3 linked regions of the Saccharomyces cerevisiae S288C genome follow. The protein of the gene in region 1 interacts with the protein of each later gene in a biochemical or structural test. Each region holds a gene or a part of one and is shown on either strand. Other genes may lie near its edges.

Region 1 (6,751 bases):
CGATAGACCTCTTAGATCCGCCAAACCTTGGTCAGTGACCAAGATGTCCAGGTCATGCTCAGTTTGATCTACATGAGAGGCCATAGGAACAATGGTAGAGATACCGGTAGGGTCTACTTTAGTTGGTCTTGCAGAGGGGGCATGCATGATGGACAACTTTGCATTTCTCAAGAAATCAGCAGATCCACCCAACCCGTTCAACATACGGGAACCATTCACATTTGTAGAATTGGCGTGCGCGTAAATGTCAACTTCTACTGGGGTATTCATGGCGATGACACCCAATCTACGGATCATTTCCGGATTGTTCGAGACAACTTGAGATCTCAAACACAATCTGTGTTTGAAATTTTCCCAGTTTGCAAAGGCTCTGTCGAAACCCTTTTCAGTCAATCTCACGGAAGTAGCAGTGGCGTAGTCCAAAGATCCGTTCTCGAAAAGATCCAAGAACGAGTCCTGCAGCACTTCCGTCCATACAGTCAAGTGCTTGAATTGGGCGCCAGCAAGCCCTTCAATGACAGCGTTAGCAATGTTACCTATACCACTTTGTAAAGGCAGCAGGTTTTCAGGTAGCCTACCATGTTTTACCTCGTTTCTGAAAAACTCGACCAAATGACCTGCAATAGCCCTGGACATGTCGTCAGAGGGCGTATTTGGTGGGACCTGGTCCCTCATGGTGGACTCCACAATCGCAACAACCTTTTCAGGATCAACCGGGATGGAGTCAACACCACACTTGTCGTCCACTTTCAGATATGGGTATGGTTTCCTGAAAGGTGGGTTCACGGGCATGTCTATATCGTGAATACCCTCGAACGAAGGCGTAGCCGTGTTAACCTCAATAATCACTTTATCACTGACTGTAATGAATTCTGGAGAACCACCGACAGAGGGACCTGGGACGATAGACCCGTCCTCTTTAATGGCCGTTGCCTCGATTATAGTATAATCAAGGATTTTGTTGTCTTTTCTTTCCCTGGTGTAGAACCCGTATGTCAGATCCTGAGGGAACATGGACAGATGTTTATCAAAGAACTCAATTCTACCCTGGTTAATTGCCTTTGCAATGGGTTTCCCTACTTGATGAGGGGCTCTCTTAATGATCATGTCGTGTTCAGCCCAACGGTTTTCCTCTGGACCAGCAGAAGCTCCAACAAAAAGGTTGAATCTCAACTTCCCTTGTAAATTGTTCTTCTCCACGTGATCTATCAGTGCCTCCGGCACTGCCTTGGGAGTACCCACTCCTGTAAAACCGGACCACCCAAGGTACTGACCATTCTTGAACAATGGAATAAGCTCGTGAGCTTCCTTAACTTTTTTCAGATAGGGAGCATACCTAACTCTCTGCTTTAACAAATTAGAAATTGTCATTTTAGTGCAATATGTGAAAAAGAAAAAAAGAAATGTGTTGTTTGTTTTGCCGCTATTGTCTAGTAAGACGGTCTCTTGCTGCTTTGTGTGCTAATGTAAGCCCGGTGGGCACAAGACAAAAGAAGGGGTAGAACACATCTAACGTCTATATATACACAGCAACTTGATTACACATTTGCTCCAGCAAGCGCTTACCGTCCACAATACAGTGGTCATCCATACAATCACTACTTTGGTAGTTTGACGCTCCGATGGGATTGGCTGTTGCGGATGTGGTTGAGGGCGTTGTCCTCGAGGCCAATCAGCAGCGCGCATTGCCCGCCTTTGGCCCGGCGGGCCGCGCGTCGCAGGGGATGATGCTAGTCACCTATATGGATCACCCCTTGTGGTTCTTCATTTTTTTTTTCTTCAATTAACAGCCGCCGACGGCCCGTGGCGCGCGATCACGGAGTTGCGTAACTGCTCCCCTTAGCTCCATATAAGTATTGTCCTTTTATACGTCCGCGTCCTCAGCGGCTAATACGTATGTCATATGTACATATGTATATGTGTACGTATATGTATATGTATACATTGTTCTTCGGGTTGATATTTTAATGATAATGATGGCTAACTAAATATTTCGTTCCAAATGAGTTTCTTGAGGTCTTTCGTCGTTAGTGCCTCCTTGTAGTGATCAAACTCGAAGAAGCTGGGTGGGATGGGTTCGCCTTCAGGTTCGTCGTTTGGATCGTGGTATGTTTGCAAATACGGATGCTCCAGTGCCTCCTTAGCAGTAATCCTCTTCGCAGGGTCAAAAACAAGCATACGCTGTAAAAGATCTATGCCTTTCGGGTTGACTCGAGGGAACATCTTCTCCAGTGGCGCGGCAGGGTACATGGGAAGCGACTTTATGTACTCTCTAGCCCTGGGTGACTCTATACACCGCAAATCATTATCTGAGTGAGGTGTACCGATGATACCGAATATCAGTAGTAGTTGATGGCGATAATCTCTGCCAGGGAAGATTGGCCGTCTTAAGAAAAGTTCAGCGAGAATACATCCGCAGGACCACACGTCCATGGCCCTTGAGTATTTGGCAGAGGTTAACATCACCTCTGGCGCCCTGTACCAACGTGTGGCCACATACTCGGTCATGCCGCTTTGCTGACCTGTGGGCTCTGAATTGTCCGCGGCTGACTCGTCAATGATTCTTGCTAAACCGAAATCACATACTTTCAAGTCACAGTTGGAGTTTATGAGAAGGTTGGAGGGCTTTAAATCACGATGGATGACGTTCGAACCATGCAGCACTTTCACTGCTCTCAAGGTTTGGTATATAAAATATTGTATATGATCGTCACTCAGCATCTGGGTGGAGATTACACGGTGTAAATCTGTCTGCATTAGCTCTTGAATTATGTAGACCTCATTGAAGTTTTCGAACGAGTCAGGGCGTTGAATGTTGAAGATTGTTATGATATTTTCGTGCTTGAAGTGCTTCAGGATCTTTATTTCACGCAGCGTACGTAATGCGAACAAAGGCTTATCGAATGGTTCGATCTTTTTTATTGCCACGATTTCTCCCGTGGGCTTATGCGTTGCAGAACATACCACACCGTATGCACCCTCTCCCAGTAACGACTTCAACTGGAAGTCACTGGATATATTGTATACAATTCTCTTTGGCATATTATTTTCCTTTCTTTTTCTCTGCCTTATTTCCTTGTAGTTCAAACGAACTAGCTATTAGAAGAAAGAAAATGATTACAACGTATATATAGTTTCTGAGAGGCAAGAGTAAAAAGTTATGATATATTAGTATGTTGCTTTTCTGCAATTGTTTCAATGCCCTGTAAAAAACCGCATCATCTAAAATCTGAGAGAATGCAGAAACAAAAAAAAAAAAAGTAAAAATTTCGAGTAAAAGAATTTTGAGTTCCAGGGTGAAACAGATCTAAAACTCAAGAGCTTATGCATTGCTTGTAGGTACATCACATTTTACTTCAGAAAGATAAAAGAGTATGTGAAAGTAAACTGCCCTCTCCAGTTAACTCTTCCCAAACTAAAAAGTATCCGCCTGTGCGGACTACAAGCACTACCGCCCCTTGAATGAACACCAAAAGATGTGTGTAAGTTAAAAAGTCCGAACGAATTTATCCTTATGTATGTTCTTTTGAACGTCAAGTAGTCAATCTCTCCAACTACTCGGGTCTTTATATGGATCGCGTGATGTTTTAAGCCTTCTTTCCTCTAGTTTAGTGCAGTCGCTGCTTTTTTCTCGGGCTGAGTACGGCGAAAAGAAGGAAAAACCAAGGTCAAAAAATAACCTCTAAATAACAGCATGATGCAACAGCTCAAAAGACCTCTCAAGAAGCACAAAAAAAGGAGGCGAGTAGGTGGTACTATTTCATTCTACTAAGATCTTTAAAGCAATTCCTTTCCGGTTTTTTTCTCAACTACCGTACTCTTTTTCCTTTTTTATTTTGCCCTTAGATTGTATTATAAAGCTCTGTATATCTGGAAAAGCCCTGAAGTGTCCAGTAGTCATCACACGTTATGATATTACTTCATTTTGTCTATTCTCTTTGGGCCTTACTTCTCATTCCTTTAACTAATGCCGAAGAATTCACCCCCAAAGTGACAAAGACTATCGCGCAAGATTCATTTGATATATTAAGCTTTGATGATTCCAACACTTTAATTAGAAAACAAGACACCTCCGTTACTATAAGCTTTGACGATGGTGAAACATGGGAAAAAGTTGAAGGCATTGAAGGCGAAATCACTTGGATATACATCGACCCCTTCAATAGACATGACAGAGCCGTTGCAACGGCAATGAATGGGTCGTACCTTTATATAACCAATGATCAAGGTAAGTCATGGGAGCGTATAACGCTACCTGACTCCGGAGAAAGTATTTCACCTCGTGAATGCTATATAGAAACCCATCCCTTGAATAAGAACTATTTTCTTGCAAAGTGCAACTATTGTGAGAAAACAGAAGTAAACAATGACAATGAAGAGAATTCGGGGGACGAAGAGGGACAATTTGAAATATTTAATATTACACGTTGCACAGACAAGGTTTTTGCAAGTAATGATGGTGGAAAATCCTTTTCTGAGATCAAGTCTTCTCTAGAAAGGAACGAAAATAGTCCTATCAGCATTTCTGATTGTGGCTTTGCCAAGACCAGCAAAGATTCTGACCTTGAAAGTAGTGATACCTCAATAATCTGTCTTTTTCAAAATATGCAGCTTATTATGGATGAGTTTAGTTCTCCTTACACCGAAAGTAAATTGGTCCTAACTACGGACTGGGGCAAATCACTAAAAGAATTTGACCAATTTAAAGATAAGGTCGTCAATGGTTACAGGATATTGAAATCTCACATGGTTGTCTTAACCCAGGGCGACAGATATAATGATATGTCTTCCATGGATGTGTGGGTATCAAATGATCTGTCAAACTTTAAAATGGCTTACATGCCTACTCAGTTAAGGCATTCTATGCAAGGAGAAATATATGAGGACGCTATGGGAAGAATTATCTTGCCCATGAGTAGGGAAAGAAGTGATCAAGAGGAGGATAAGGGCATCGTGTCTGAAATTTTAATTTCCGACTCACAAGGGTTAAAATTTTCCCCCATCCCATGGACCGCAAATGAGGTGTTTGGTTATATTAATTTTTATCAACCTACTTACTTGAAAGGAACGATGATTGCCTCACTTTACCCTCTATCTAGGCGTCGTAACCGTAAAGGAAAAGCCAAAGGAGTAAAGAGTAAGGGGGTAACCAAAATATCTGTTGATAATGGCCTCACATGGACAATGTTAAAAGTTGTTGATCCAGATAACGCAGACTCATTCGACTGTGATATTACTGATTTTGAGAATTGTTCGCTTCAAAATATGTTTTACACACGGGAGGGTTCCACTCCAACCGCCGGAATTCTAATGACAACAGGTATTGTTGGCGATGGTAGTGTCTTCGACTGGGGAGATCAAAGAACCTTTATTTCTAGGGATGGTGGCTTAACATGGAAACTCGCCTTTGATTTTCCTTGTTTATACGCTGTTGGTGATTACGGAAATGTTATTGTGGCTATACCGTATAATGCGGATGAAGACGACGATCCTCAATCCGAATTTTATTACTCTTTAGACCAAGGTAAAACTTGGACCGAATATCAGCTAGAAACTACTATCTACCCAAATGAAGTAATGAATACAACGCCCGACGGATCTGGAGCTAAATTTATTCTAAATGGGTTTACTTTGGCGCATATGGATGGTACAACGAATTTCATCTATGCAATTGATTTTTCAACAGCCTTTAATGATAAGACATGCGAAGAAAATGATTTCGAGGATTGGAATTTAGCTGAGGGGAAGTGTGTCAATGGAGTCAAGTACAAGATCAGAAGAAGAAAACAGGACGCTCAGTGCTTGGTGAAGAAAGTTTTTGAAGACTTACAATTATTTGAGACTGCTTGTGACAAGTGTACCGAGGCTGATTACGAATGCGCGTTTGAATTTGTTAGGGACGCGACCGGGAAATGCGTACCAGACTACAACCTAATCGTTCTCTCTGACGTATGTGATAAGACAAAGAAAAAAACTGTGCCTGTAAAACCATTGCAACTAGTTAAAGGTGATAAATGTAAAAAACCAATGACAGTCAAATCAGTGGATATTTCGTGTGAGGGAGTTCCAAAGAAGGGAACGAATGATAAAGAAATAGTGGTTACAGAAAACAAATTTGATTTCAAGATTCAATTCTATCAATACTTTGACACAGTCACCGACGAATCCCTCCTCATGATCAATTCAAGAGGAGAAGCTTATATATCTCATGATGGTGGACAAACAATAAAAAGGTTCGACAGTAATGGTGAAACAATTATTGAAGTTGTGTTTAATCCATACTACAATTCTTCAGCTTATCTGTTTGGTTCCAAAGGTAGCATTTTCTCTACCCATGATAGGGGATACTCTTTTATGACTGCTAAATTGCCCGAGGCTAGGCAGTTAGGTATGCCATTAGACTTTAACGCTAAGGCACAGGATACATTTATCTATTATGGTGGTAAGAATTGTGAGTCAATCTTAAGTCCGGAATGTCATGCGGTAGCATACCTGACCAATGATGGGGGCGAAACGTTTACGGAAATGCTTGATAATGCAATTCATTGTGAGTTTGCGGGCTCACTTTTCAAATATCCGTCAAATGAGGATATGGTTATGTGTCAAGTGAAGGAAAAGTCTTCGCAGACAAGAAGCTTAGTTTCTTCTACTGATTTTTTCCAGGATGATAAAAATACCGTCTTTGAAAATATTATCGGCTACTTATCCACTGGTGGCTATATCATCGTTGCTGTTCCTCATGAGAACAACG
Region 2 (6,722 bases), on another chromosome or scaffold:
TCGGCAACAATACCTTCGTTTTGGCCTGCCAGGAATCTTCTAATCCTTCTTACACGAGAACCAGGAACAACGCCACAGTTATAAGATCTGGCAATAGTATCCACTATAGTTCTAATCAATTGGCCTGTGATACCACTTGAAGTTCCTCCCAGTGAGGCAGGAAGCTTTTCTGGAGTCAGAGCACAGGCTAATAAAGCAACAACTGTTTCCATAGCAATGTGAGCAGCAGCTACAGCATCCGCTTTACCACCTAGTAGTGGCCCAGTGGGTTGAAGAATAGGTTTGGTTTCATCAACGGGGTAAATAACCATAGTATGAGAAACTTCAGAGGTGTAACCATCAATATGAACACCTAGTGTAATCTTGACTAAATCCCCCGGTCTCAAAGTCCCAGTGACAGATGATGCAAAAGTGGAGTCTTTCCCCTTATTCCAGTTTAACAAATTTTGAGTATCATCTATTTCGGGGCACCATCCACCAGAAATTTGGTCGATATCAATAGTGGTTGGAATGGCAATACCTCTTTCATTAACTTTGTTTTTATAATATTGTTCCAACCGGGTCAAAATAAAAGAATCGGTAAGCAAACATAGCTCTGGCACGGTTAATTGGCGCTGTGTGGTCTTAGAGTGATATGAATCATTGATCAAAGAAGTAACATATTTCAAAGCAGTTTGTGCGATTTGTCCAGCAGTTCTGTATTTGTTCAAGACCGATTCCTGTAGAATATTTTTGTCCTTTAGCAAAATCTGAGTATCCTCGTGGGAGATAGCTAGAGCCATGATAGTTTTAGCAATATTAGTCGGGTCGGGTTTTTTCTTAAAAGTATTTTGAATAACACGATGCTTTAGCTCATCTCATCTCTTCTGCTGAAATTTTTCTTTACTTCGGTAAAATTTTTTCAGAAAGCAAAAAAAGCTTCACAGAGGCATGACCCTCTCCGGGTAAAAAAAAGCTTAGGGTTACCGGCCTGTCATTTTTAGGGCATTATCAATTTTTTGCCATCTAGTTGCAACTATAATAATACAGTATGAATTGCACGAAAGAGCAGTCAATGTAAATTCACGAAGTGACTGACAGAATACTGACATCAGCTGATTTCTCATAGAGCTGTTTCTCTGATAACACGTTGTTTGAACATCGACAAGATGAAAATCTAGAAGTATCAAGTTTCCTTTAAAGGGATATATAACAGATTCTAAAACTGACAGAAATATTTCGAGTGAAGAAGAAGCGTTAAATATTGGATCTTTCCGCAGTTCTACTCTGATACATTTTTGAAGTAGGAGAGTCATTTAGAAGGCGTATTGCTCAATAGTAGAAAGCAGGCCTGTGCACATGAATTAATTAAAAAATATAAAGGTAGTGATTAGACGACACATGTCCATAGGTAACCTGTCATAATTTTGAACAATTTCCCTTCTTTTCTTTTTTTTTTTTGGGTGCGGCGATATGTAGCTTGTTAATTTACACATCATGTACTTTTCTGCATCAAAATATGAAAGGCGATAGTAGCTAAAGAAAATACCGAGAATTTCCTCGAAAAGTTGACGACAAAAGAAAGGCATAAAAAAGTAATTTGAAAATATTTTAAAACTGTTTTAACCCATCTAGCATCCGCGCTAAAAAAGGAAGATACAGGATACAGCGGAAACAACTTTTAAATGATGGAAACTCCTACAGACAATATAGTTTCCCCTTTTCACAATTTTGGTAGCTCGACACAATATAGTGGTACCTTGTCGAGAACTCCCAACCAAATAATAGAGCTAGAGAAGCCCAGTACTCTATCCCCATTGTCAAGAGGAAAAAAATGGACGGAAAAGTTAGCCAGGTTCCAAAGAAGTAGTGCTAAAAAGAAAAGATTCTCACCTTCTCCTATTTCCTCCTCTACATTTTCGTTCTCACCCAAATCTAGGGTCACTTCTTCAAACTCTTCTGGCAATGAAGACGGTAACCTAATGAATACACCTTCTACGGTTTCCACTGATTATTTGCCACAACACCCTCACAGAACATCGTCTTTGCCAAGACCTAATTCCAATCTCTTTCACGCAAGTAATAGTAACCTATCCCGAGCAAATGAGCCCCCAAGGGCCGAAAATTTATCAGATAATATACCACCCAAGGTCGCTCCATTTGGCTATCCAATACAAAGAACCTCTATTAAAAAATCCTTTTTGAATGCTTCTTGTACGTTATGTGACGAGCCTATTTCTAACAGAAGAAAGGGAGAGAAAATTATAGAGCTTGCATGTGGCCACTTAAGTCACCAAGAATGTCTTATTATCTCTTTTGGCACCACTTCAAAGGCAGACGTTCGTGCGCTATTTCCTTTTTGTACCAAATGTAAAAAAGATACTAACAAAGCCGTTCAATGCATTCCAGAAAATGATGAACTAAAGGATATTCTAATTTCTGATTTTTTGATTCATAAGATTCCTGATTCTGAGTTATCAATCACACCTCAGTCCCGCTTTCCTCCTTATTCACCACTCTTGCCTCCTTTTGGGTTATCCTATACACCTGTTGAAAGACAAACGATATATTCTCAAGCTCCAAGTCTAAACCCAAATCTCATATTGGCTGCACCCCCCAAGGAAAGAAACCAAATTCCACAAAAAAAATCAAACTATACATTTTTACATTCACCCCTGGGGCACAGAAGAATTCCGTCCGGAGCAAACTCTATCTTAGCAGACACCTCTGTAGCGTTGTCAGCTAATGATTCTATTTCTGCTGTTTCCAATTCGGTAAGAGCAAAGGATGACGAAACCAAAACAACGTTGCCGCTGTTAAGGTCATATTTTATTCAAATTCTTTTGAACAATTTCCAGGAAGAATTGCAGGATTGGAGAATAGACGGGGACTATGGATTACTAAGGTTGGTAGACAAATTGATGATTTCCAAAGATGGTCAGAGATATATACAATGCTGGTGTTTCTTATTTGAAGACGCATTTGTAATAGCAGAAGTGGATAACGATGTTGATGTTTTGGAAATTAGACTAAAGAATTTAGAAGTATTTACACCTATTGCCAACTTGAGAATGACTACACTCGAAGCTTCAGTACTCAAATGCACCTTAAATAAACAACATTGCGCCGATTTATCAGATCTTTACATTGTTCAGAATATAAATTCTGACGAAAGCACAACTGTACAGAAATGGATATCAGGTATATTGAATCAGGATTTTGTATTCAATGAGGACAATATCACTTCGACCCTGCCTATTCTTCCCATTATAAAGAACTTTTCAAAAGATGTTGGTAATGGTAGGCACGAGACGAGTACCTTTCTAGGTTTAATCAATCCTAACAAAGTTGTTGAAGTTGGAAATGTGCACGATAATGATACTGTAATCATAAGGAGGGGATTCACCTTAAATTCAGGAGAATGTTCTAGGCAGAGTACTGTCGACAGTATACAATCTGTTCTAACCACGATAAGCTCAATTCTTTCCCTTAAACGAGAAAAACCTGATAATTTGGCAATAATCTTACAGATCGATTTTACGAAATTGAAGGAAGAAGACAGTTTAATTGTTGTTTATAACAGTCTAAAAGCTTTAACCATTAAATTTGCGCGTTTGCAGTTTTGTTTCGTTGATCGAAATAATTATGTTCTGGACTATGGATCGGTATTACACAAGATAGATTCACTAGATTCCATCTCAAATCTCAAATCAAAGAGTTCCTCGACACAATTTTCACCTATTTGGTTGAAAAATACTCTATATCCCGAAAATATTCATGAACATTTGGGTATTGTTGCTGTATCAAATAGTAATATGGAAGCAAAAAAATCCATACTATTTCAAGATTACAGATGCTTTACAAGTTTTGGAAGAAGAAGGCCCAATGAATTGAAGATTAAGGTGGGCTATTTGAACGTTGACTACAGTGATAAAATTGATGAACTAGTCGAGGCCAGCTCCTGGACTTTTGTTTTAGAAACTCTTTGCTACAGTTTCGGTCTAAGTTTTGATGAACATGATGACGATGACGAAGAGGATAATGATGATTCGACCGATAATGAACTTGATAATAGTTCAGGATCACTGTCGGATGCTGAATCTACAACTACTATTCATATTGATTCTCCATTTGATAATGAAAATGCTACCGCAAATATGGTGAATGACAGAAACCTTCTCACTGAGGGTGAACATAGCAATATAGAAAACTTAGAAACTGTCGCTTCTTCAGTACAGCCAGCTCTGATTCCTAATATTAGATTTTCACTTCATTCTGAGGAGGAAGGTACTAATGAAAATGAAAATGAAAATGATATGCCAGTATTATTACTTAGTGATATGGATAAAGGAATCGATGGCATAACCAGACGCAGTTCATTCTCGAGTCTTATAGAGAGCGGTAATAACAACTGTCCCCTCCATATGGATTATATATAGAGTATACACTAAATTTTATGCAATAATAAAAAGAAAGCATCCCGCCAAACGTTTCGTAACTACATATTGTTACATAGTTTGATTCCGTGAATTTGAAGTGGACGCAGTTCTTCTTAGTCTTTCAAGTTCATAGTAAATAGACATTACCCAAAGATCTCTTTCCTGTCTTGATCTTGCCATGAAAACCATTGACTTGCCGCTCACACCTAACTTTTTAGTGAAATGGATCTTATCTGTGTTACTTGGAACATTAGAGTTATTCAAGTCAGCTTCCGGAGCAGAAGGTGGGTCAATATTATTATCTTGTCTACCATAATCTTGCGTATATTGCTTTTCATTCCCTTTCTTCTGTAAGCGATTGCTAGAAAGGGCACGCCTTGTTCCAAACCAAAGCGTAAAGCATCGCGAACTCTCGTCTTCTACAGATCGCCATCCGTCCCCATAAACTCGTGGGAGAGCGTGGGATCCATAGTTTATTTCGTCAAAAGTACGATCTCTCTGCAGAAGGTCTAGTTCTGTTGTGGTCCCAGAGTATAGGTAGCAATCGTCAATCGGAATGGTTACATAATGAGCATACTCCAAAACTTCCTTAGCAAAACCTGTGGTTGATCTATGAAAGCAGTGGAACAGTACAATAAAACCTGATATCAAAACGACGTAGTACTTCGAGAAAACAGAATGCTTGTGCGGCTTTTGATATAAAGGTCCCTTTTGAATTAACGGCCTACTTAATGATATTCCATTTGCATTAAAGGTTTGCTCATCTGCACGCCCATGTTCTACGATCCAGCGCAATGTATTCTCACCAATTTTTGTTTCCTCTTCTCCATTTAGCATCAAAAGACCTGCATTTGAACGCCTTATTTTTAAAAGCCTCTCCGTATCTTCCCTTTGCTTGTTTTTCCAATAGGATATCATTTGTTTCAGCTTTATGACCCACTCTTCAGCAACTGTTGCTGATGTAGCAAGCAGCTTCAAGAGGAGTCCATTTGAGGTTTCTATATTTATTACGGACCGTGAAACATCATCAATCTCGTAGTTTCTATGCCAAAAGATTTCACTAGCTTCCTTGTAAACCCCATATTTTATTTTGTCTGCTTCGTAATCAGTCCTTGTTCCTTGATATATATCTTTCACCTCAGTTAGGTCAATCACATTGTCCGTTTTTAGTATTTGATCAATCCTTCTATGAAAACAATGGAAAGCATAGAAATCTCTGGAATCATATTCACTTTGGGTCGTTTGACAGTTCATCCACTCGATGTGATCATTTGTGTCTAAGGGATAAGGTTGTTGCTCGTAAACCTCTGGAATTTTCTTCCACTGTTTCCAAATTTCTTCTTTTTCTATTTCTGTGCTAGTGTCGTCAATCATCGAATCTATAGGCAATGGTGGGTTTGCTCTATATGCTTTCATCGAAAAAAGCAAATTCTCACACGTGAAGAAGTAAGCTGTTGAAATACTATATTTACCAAAATTTGTCCTCGCAGAGCCATACTTGTCAGTCAATCTTATTAAAAAACCTTCAATAGGTGTTGGTTCTTTCAGACATTTTCCTTCTAAAGATTTTGTTTCCCTTAAACGATTCGCAATTGGCCTGTACTGGATTAGGTGAGATTGACAAAATGCAAAAATTCCAGTTACCAGAGAATCTTCATCACATGGAATCCACTCCAATCTATCATATCTTTTCAGGGCACATCCTAGTACAGGATTTTCTGTATCCCATTTTCTAATCAGATAGTCATAATGCGCCAATTTTAATTTCTCCAAAATAGCAACTGTGAAATATCGTAAAATGGGATGCTGGAAAATTTTATAACCTCTTTGAAGAAAACATATTTTTAATCTATCTTTTTCCTGCTTCCCTAAATCTATTAGCTTTTGGAATATAATTTCATTCAAGTTTATTTTTATCGAGATCTCAGTTAATGGAATTTTCAAGTTGATGGCAGGTGTAAATAGTTGTCGGTCCAAAGATTCTAGTAGAAATTTGTACCATCTACCAGACGAACGAATACTGCTGCATCTTAAGATAAAAATTTTAATGGGGGAATAGTGTTTTAATTCGTCCTTCTTTTCAATACTCTCGTCTATAAACCCACCTAACCGCTTATCAGGCTTTTGTATGGATATAGTTTTGTCTAGAGAGCTGTAGAATTTTACAATACAATTTCTTGAAAGAAAAAAATCCAACGGGTTGCGGTGATACTTTGTAGCTATGGAACTGATATCTTCGATTTCTGGGATATGACGATGACGATAGAACTGTAAAAGTATCGGGGGATCGAATCTTCCCGTGGA
Region 3 (5,203 bases), on another chromosome or scaffold:
CAGGCCTCTTGCTGTGCAGAAACAGATAGAGACTCATATGGAGAAACGTGAGATTGAAGTACAAGTTAGCGAGCTACGGGACCGACTGGAGGAGGAAGAAACGCTCTCGGAAGAGCAGATTGACAAGAAATGTGAAGCGTTGAGGGCAAAACTGACGAACGAGTGGCAAGAACAGCAGCGGATGTCCTCTTTGTACACCCCTCGTAAGGCGCGTCTAACGGAAGAGCAGCATCGACATGAATAGCAGCATTGACGATAGCGATAAGCTTCGCGCGTAGAGGAAAAGTAAAGGGATTTTAGTATATAAAGAAAGAAGTGTATCTAAACGTTTATATTTTTTCGTGCTCCACATTTTGCCAGCAAGTGGCTACATAAACATTTACATATCAGCATACGGGACATTATTTGAACGCGCATTAGCAGCATGATGACTCACACATTACCAAGCGAACAGACACGTCTTGTTCCTGGATCTGACTCGAGCTCTCGTCCTAAAAAGAGACGGATCTCGAAGAGATCAAAGATAATAGTATCCACTGTGGTCTGTATTGGTTTGTTGCTGGTTTTAGTGCAACTGGCATTTCCAAGCAGTTTTGCATTACGTTCTGCATCACACAAGAAGAAGAATGTCATATTCTTCGTGACGGATGGGATGGGACCTGCGTCTTTGTCCATGGCAAGATCATTCAACCAGCATGTTAATGATTTACCTATAGACGACATCCTGACACTTGACGAGCATTTTATCGGGTCTTCGAGAACAAGGTCCTCGGACTCACTAGTCACTGACTCAGCTGCGGGCGCCACCGCATTTGCATGTGCATTAAAGAGCTATAATGGGGCCATCGGTGTTGATCCGCATCACAGACCTTGTGGTACAGTGCTCGAGGCGGCTAAGTTAGCAGGTTATCTCACTGGGCTTGTTGTTACGACAAGAATCACAGATGCCACTCCGGCTTCATTCAGTTCACATGTTGATTACAGATGGCAGGAAGATCTTATCGCTACGCACCAGTTAGGCGAATATCCTCTGGGGAGAGTAGTAGACTTACTCATGGGTGGCGGCAGGAGCCATTTCTACCCTCAAGGCGAAAAGGCTTCTCCATATGGTCACCACGGTGCTAGAAAAGATGGAAGAGATTTAATCGATGAGGCTCAATCTAATGGCTGGCAGTACGTGGGTGACCGTAAAAATTTTGATTCTTTGTTGAAAAGCCACGGTGAAAACGTTACTTTACCTTTCTTGGGTCTCTTTGCAGATAACGACATTCCTTTTGAAATTGACAGAGATGAAAAGGAGTATCCTTCCCTTAAGGAACAAGTCAAGGTGGCTTTGGGTGCCTTGGAAAAAGCTTCCAATGAGGACAAAGATTCTAATGGGTTTTTCTTAATGGTGGAAGGCTCCAGAATTGATCATGCTGGTCACCAAAACGATCCAGCTTCGCAGGTAAGGGAGGTGTTGGCTTTCGATGAAGCATTCCAATACGTTTTGGAGTTTGCTGAAAATTCCGATACGGAGACTGTTTTGGTCTCTACGTCGGATCATGAAACGGGTGGTTTAGTCACTTCAAGACAAGTCACTGCTAGCTATCCTCAGTATGTCTGGTATCCACAGGTGCTCGCCAACGCCACCCATTCAGGTGAGTTTTTGAAAAGAAAACTAGTAGATTTTGTTCATGAGCATAAGGGCGCAAGCAGCAAAATAGAAAATTTCATCAAACATGAGATCCTGGAAAAAGATTTGGGTATTTACGATTACACGGATAGCGATTTAGAAACATTAATTCATTTGGATGACAACGCAAATGCTATCCAAGACAAACTGAATGACATGGTATCATTTAGGGCCCAAATTGGCTGGACCACGCATGGTCACAGCGCAGTCGACGTCAACATATATGCATACGCCAATAAGAAAGCTACATGGTCATATGTCTTGAACAATTTACAAGGCAATCACGAAAATACGGAAGTTGGCCAGTTCTTAGAAAACTTTTTAGAATTGAACCTGAACGAAGTCACTGATTTGATTAGGGACACCAAACACACATCAGATTTTGATGCTACAGAAATAGCTAGTGAAGTACAACATTATGACGAATACTACCATGAGTTGACCAACTGATCCTATCTAACTCTCCCTCTTTTTTCACATATTATTTAATACGTTATAATTTATTTGAATATATATATATATATATATATGTATATATACTAACCGCATGACACGTACTGTATCGCATTTCGTTTCGGAGTGCAGGCGAGTTTTAGGTGCATTCTATAGCGTGAAGAAGTGAAATCTCGTCATTTCTTCAAGTTATGCCATTCAGTCCAGATTGTTTCACATGCTTTCATATAGTCATTTTTGTCGTCGCGAACTTCAAATTTGAAAACATCATCATACAGAGAGATTTCTCCAATAATGATCCTTTCTTTGTCGTTGTCATCATCGGCATCGTCGTTAAGTGAAGCGCCCTCACTTAATGAATTTTTCGTGACAGAGCATTCAATGTCTTCATCAGTCTTACTTATGATTGGGTCTCCGTTGTGGTGTTTGGAGACAAAGGTTCTTTTTCTCGATGTCAAATCTTCCAAGTGTGGTGATCTACCAGCCAACTTCTTCCTCTTTGCATGGTAGTCGGCTGGTATTATACCATTATTATACAAGGGGCCGGGATACATCGGGGAATAATAGCCTTCGTATGCGTGCGTTTGTGTTGGAGTTGAAGAATATGGGTAGCATGGTACTGGTGGCAGTCCAGTATATGGATAAGGGTAGGTTGCTGTCATATATGAATTGGCCACTGAAGGATGATAATCTTGATTCGTAGGAGCCATCCTACCCATATATCTGACCCTAAGGCTATTTTTGTGCTGCGGAAATCTTGTTATGTTTGGTGGAGCACTTTTAGATCCATGCAAATGAGAAGATGCTTGTATATCGGAAAAATTTAGCGCTGGAGGTACCCTTTTCCTCTTTAAAGAATGATTCAGCGACTTAAAGGGTACGGTTTTCTCTGCTGGAGAAGTCGTAATGGTAGGAGGCTTACCACTATGATCTTCCTCTTTTTGCGACAGCCTAGATATGAGCAATTTTTGATTTTTTTCGATATCCCTGGATTTTTTGATCTTCGAAATCATTTTCTCACTCAATCTGTCTTCATCAAGCCCTGGAGATACTAACAGCATTCCCAGTTGCTGCAAATTCCTGGGATCATTTTCCTGAACAGTTGATATTTGCTCTTGCTGTGGGTCTTCTTGCTCTTCTTTATTCATAATTTTCCCTCTTTGCTTAAATATTCCTGCAGGCTTAACTATACCACATAAATACCACTGCAAGCAATAGAAATGAAAAATAACATTAATAACCAAAATTTAAATGGCTGTATGTTTATTGTTTATTTGATCTGCACATTATGTAATTATTGATAATTTAATAGACGTGTCCGCCGGGTGATGAAGCTGTGACATATCACAATTTTATGTGTACCTGTTGTATGTATACGCTCTAATGTCCGATATCATCATACGTGCATCACTTTGTAGCCTTCTAGGATGGCGTCTAGGTGAATACCGCCGTAGTGTTTAGGAAACTAATGTTATGGGTGGTTGTTGTTTCACTATCCAGTAATACTTTTGTGGTGAACTTAAGAAGCTTAGGGGTTACCCCTTCTTCTTGAACTAATTTTAAGAAATAACAACGAGGAATAGTGTGTATTTTTAATTACTGATCAGGCCGCATGAATATACTCACCTGTATACGTAGCAAAATTTCAGTCTCCTACTGTATATACGTCTAGATGGACTCGGTGACAAATTTTTTCTGGAATGACACCTATAATGCTGGTACTCCAACTAGATCAACTCTCAAGGGGAAGAAAGTGCAAAATGGCATAGATGGAAAAAGTCAGGCAAAGAAAGAGAGCATATCTAGTGGTTCTAGAACTAGTGATCCTACACGTGGTAGTCTGCCATCTTCCAGTGGACAGCCAACTAGTGGTGGCGGTTTTCCCTCGACATCAAACATCCAAAAGATGATGGCAGATACCCTGGTAGAGAAGATAATCAAAATGGCATTACCACCATCTTCCAAAACGGCTGTTGATACAATTCACCATCGTATGGTTGCTGGTAAAGAAAGGCCTAAGCTGTCTGTGCAGATCACGAGTAGGAATTTTATACAGATGAACTCGAGACTAGGGGTACCATTCATGATTATGGATGAATTAATAAAGATATTAAACTGGACTAACCCAGCGTATACAGTATCTATCATGTTCTTATACACGCTCATTATATTGAAACCTTTTCAAATGCTTTCTTCGCTCCCTATATTCTATTTGTTATTCTGCGTAATGGTCCCGCAATACCTTTACATTCATAAGCCAAACCCTACAAGCTATCTAGATAATAATCAAACACCAGCACAAGGCCCACCTTTGCGAAGACCTGAGGTTCCTAAACCAGTCCCTGAACTGAGCCAAGAATTTGTCTTAAACCTCACGGATTTACAAAACCATATGCTGCTATATGTTAAATTCTACGATTTTACTTTACTCATATTACAAAAGTTTGCATTCTTCACCAACGAGGCTATTTCGTCGTTTTATTTTATTGTATTGTTAATAATAGCAACATTAAATTTTCTGTACATGGATAAATTTATCAAGCTCATTCCAATGAGACCCGTACTGATACTGCTAGGTTGGGGTTTTTTTATTGCCTCGCATCCGTCCAATCGTGAATATTTGTTGACTAAATTGAATTCGGAGGAGACAAGATTAAAAACTTTGACTATAAGTACTAATCTGGAATCTAAGATTTTGCAGCATTTGAAACTCATTGAGGCTAGGGAGCACCGACTTGTTATGATCTTTGAGATCCAAAAGTATCTTCCTGAATACAAAGAATGGCGCCCAGTTGGATTCTCTGATGACGATTATTCTCTTTTCTCTAGTTTGAGAATATACCAGAGGCGTATTGAGGAAAATTCAGTGAAGTCATTAGAAGAAATTGAGCCACCTAAGGATTGGGAATGGGAAGCCAATTCTCATTGGGTGCTTGATTTGGATCCAAAAGAATGGGTAGAGGACGAATTTATTCAGTATGTCGAGATAGATTCAGAAACAAAATGGGTCTATGACCTCAATCTTGATGGACAAAGGGGCTCATATAGAAGGCGAATGTGGACCAACAGTTGCGT

What was found. The genes of interacting proteins can lie anywhere in the genome.
Region 2: the proteins of FUS3 (region 1) and STE5 form a complex in vitro, tested with the Saccharomyces cerevisiae proteins (6 studies listed by BioGRID, with this or other methods).
Region 3: the proteins of FUS3 (region 1) and DIG2 form a complex in vitro, tested with the Saccharomyces cerevisiae proteins (6 studies listed by BioGRID, with this or other methods).

What each region holds. Positions count from the first base shown.
Region 1 is NC_001134.8:188,742-195,492, reverse strand, and holds FUS3 (mitogen-activated serine/threonine-protein kinase FUS3), read right to left. Parts: upstream 3,043-6,751; coding exon 1,981-3,042; downstream 1-1,980. Other genes in the region: ACH1 (acetyl-CoA hydrolase), read right to left, coding at 1-1,371; PEP1 (type I sorting receptor), read left to right, coding at 3,910-6,751. UniProt on the Saccharomyces cerevisiae protein: Together with closely related KSS1, FUS3 is the final kinase in the signal transduction cascade regulating activation/repression of the mating and filamentation pathways, induced by pheromone and nitrogen/carbon limitation, respectively.
Region 2 is NC_001136.10:656,686-663,407, forward strand, and holds STE5 (Ste5p), read left to right. Parts: upstream 1-1,664; coding exon 1,665-4,418; downstream 4,419-6,722. Other genes in the region: ARX1 (putative hydrolase), read right to left, coding at 1-782; YDR102C (uncharacterized protein), read right to left, coding at 963-1,295; SPO71 (Spo71p), read right to left, coding at 4,488-6,722. UniProt on the Saccharomyces cerevisiae protein: Component of the pheromone signal transduction pathway. It mediates pheromone signals acting between STE20 and STE11. It is absolutely required for pheromone-induced transcription of FUS1. May play a role in cell-cycle arrest in response to pheromone.
Region 3 is NC_001136.10:1,415,472-1,420,674, reverse strand, and holds DIG2 (Dig2p), read right to left. Parts: upstream 3,277-5,203; coding exon 2,305-3,276; downstream 1-2,304. Other genes in the region: U2-type spliceosomal complex subunit CWC21, read left to right, coding at 1-244; alkaline phosphatase PHO8, read left to right, coding at 425-2,125; PEX29 (Pex29p), read left to right, coding at 3,801-5,203. UniProt on the Saccharomyces cerevisiae protein: DIG2 and DIG1 are negative regulators of the filamentation and pheromone induced mating program. DIG1 and DIG2 inhibit the transcriptional activity of STE12 by direct protein-protein interaction.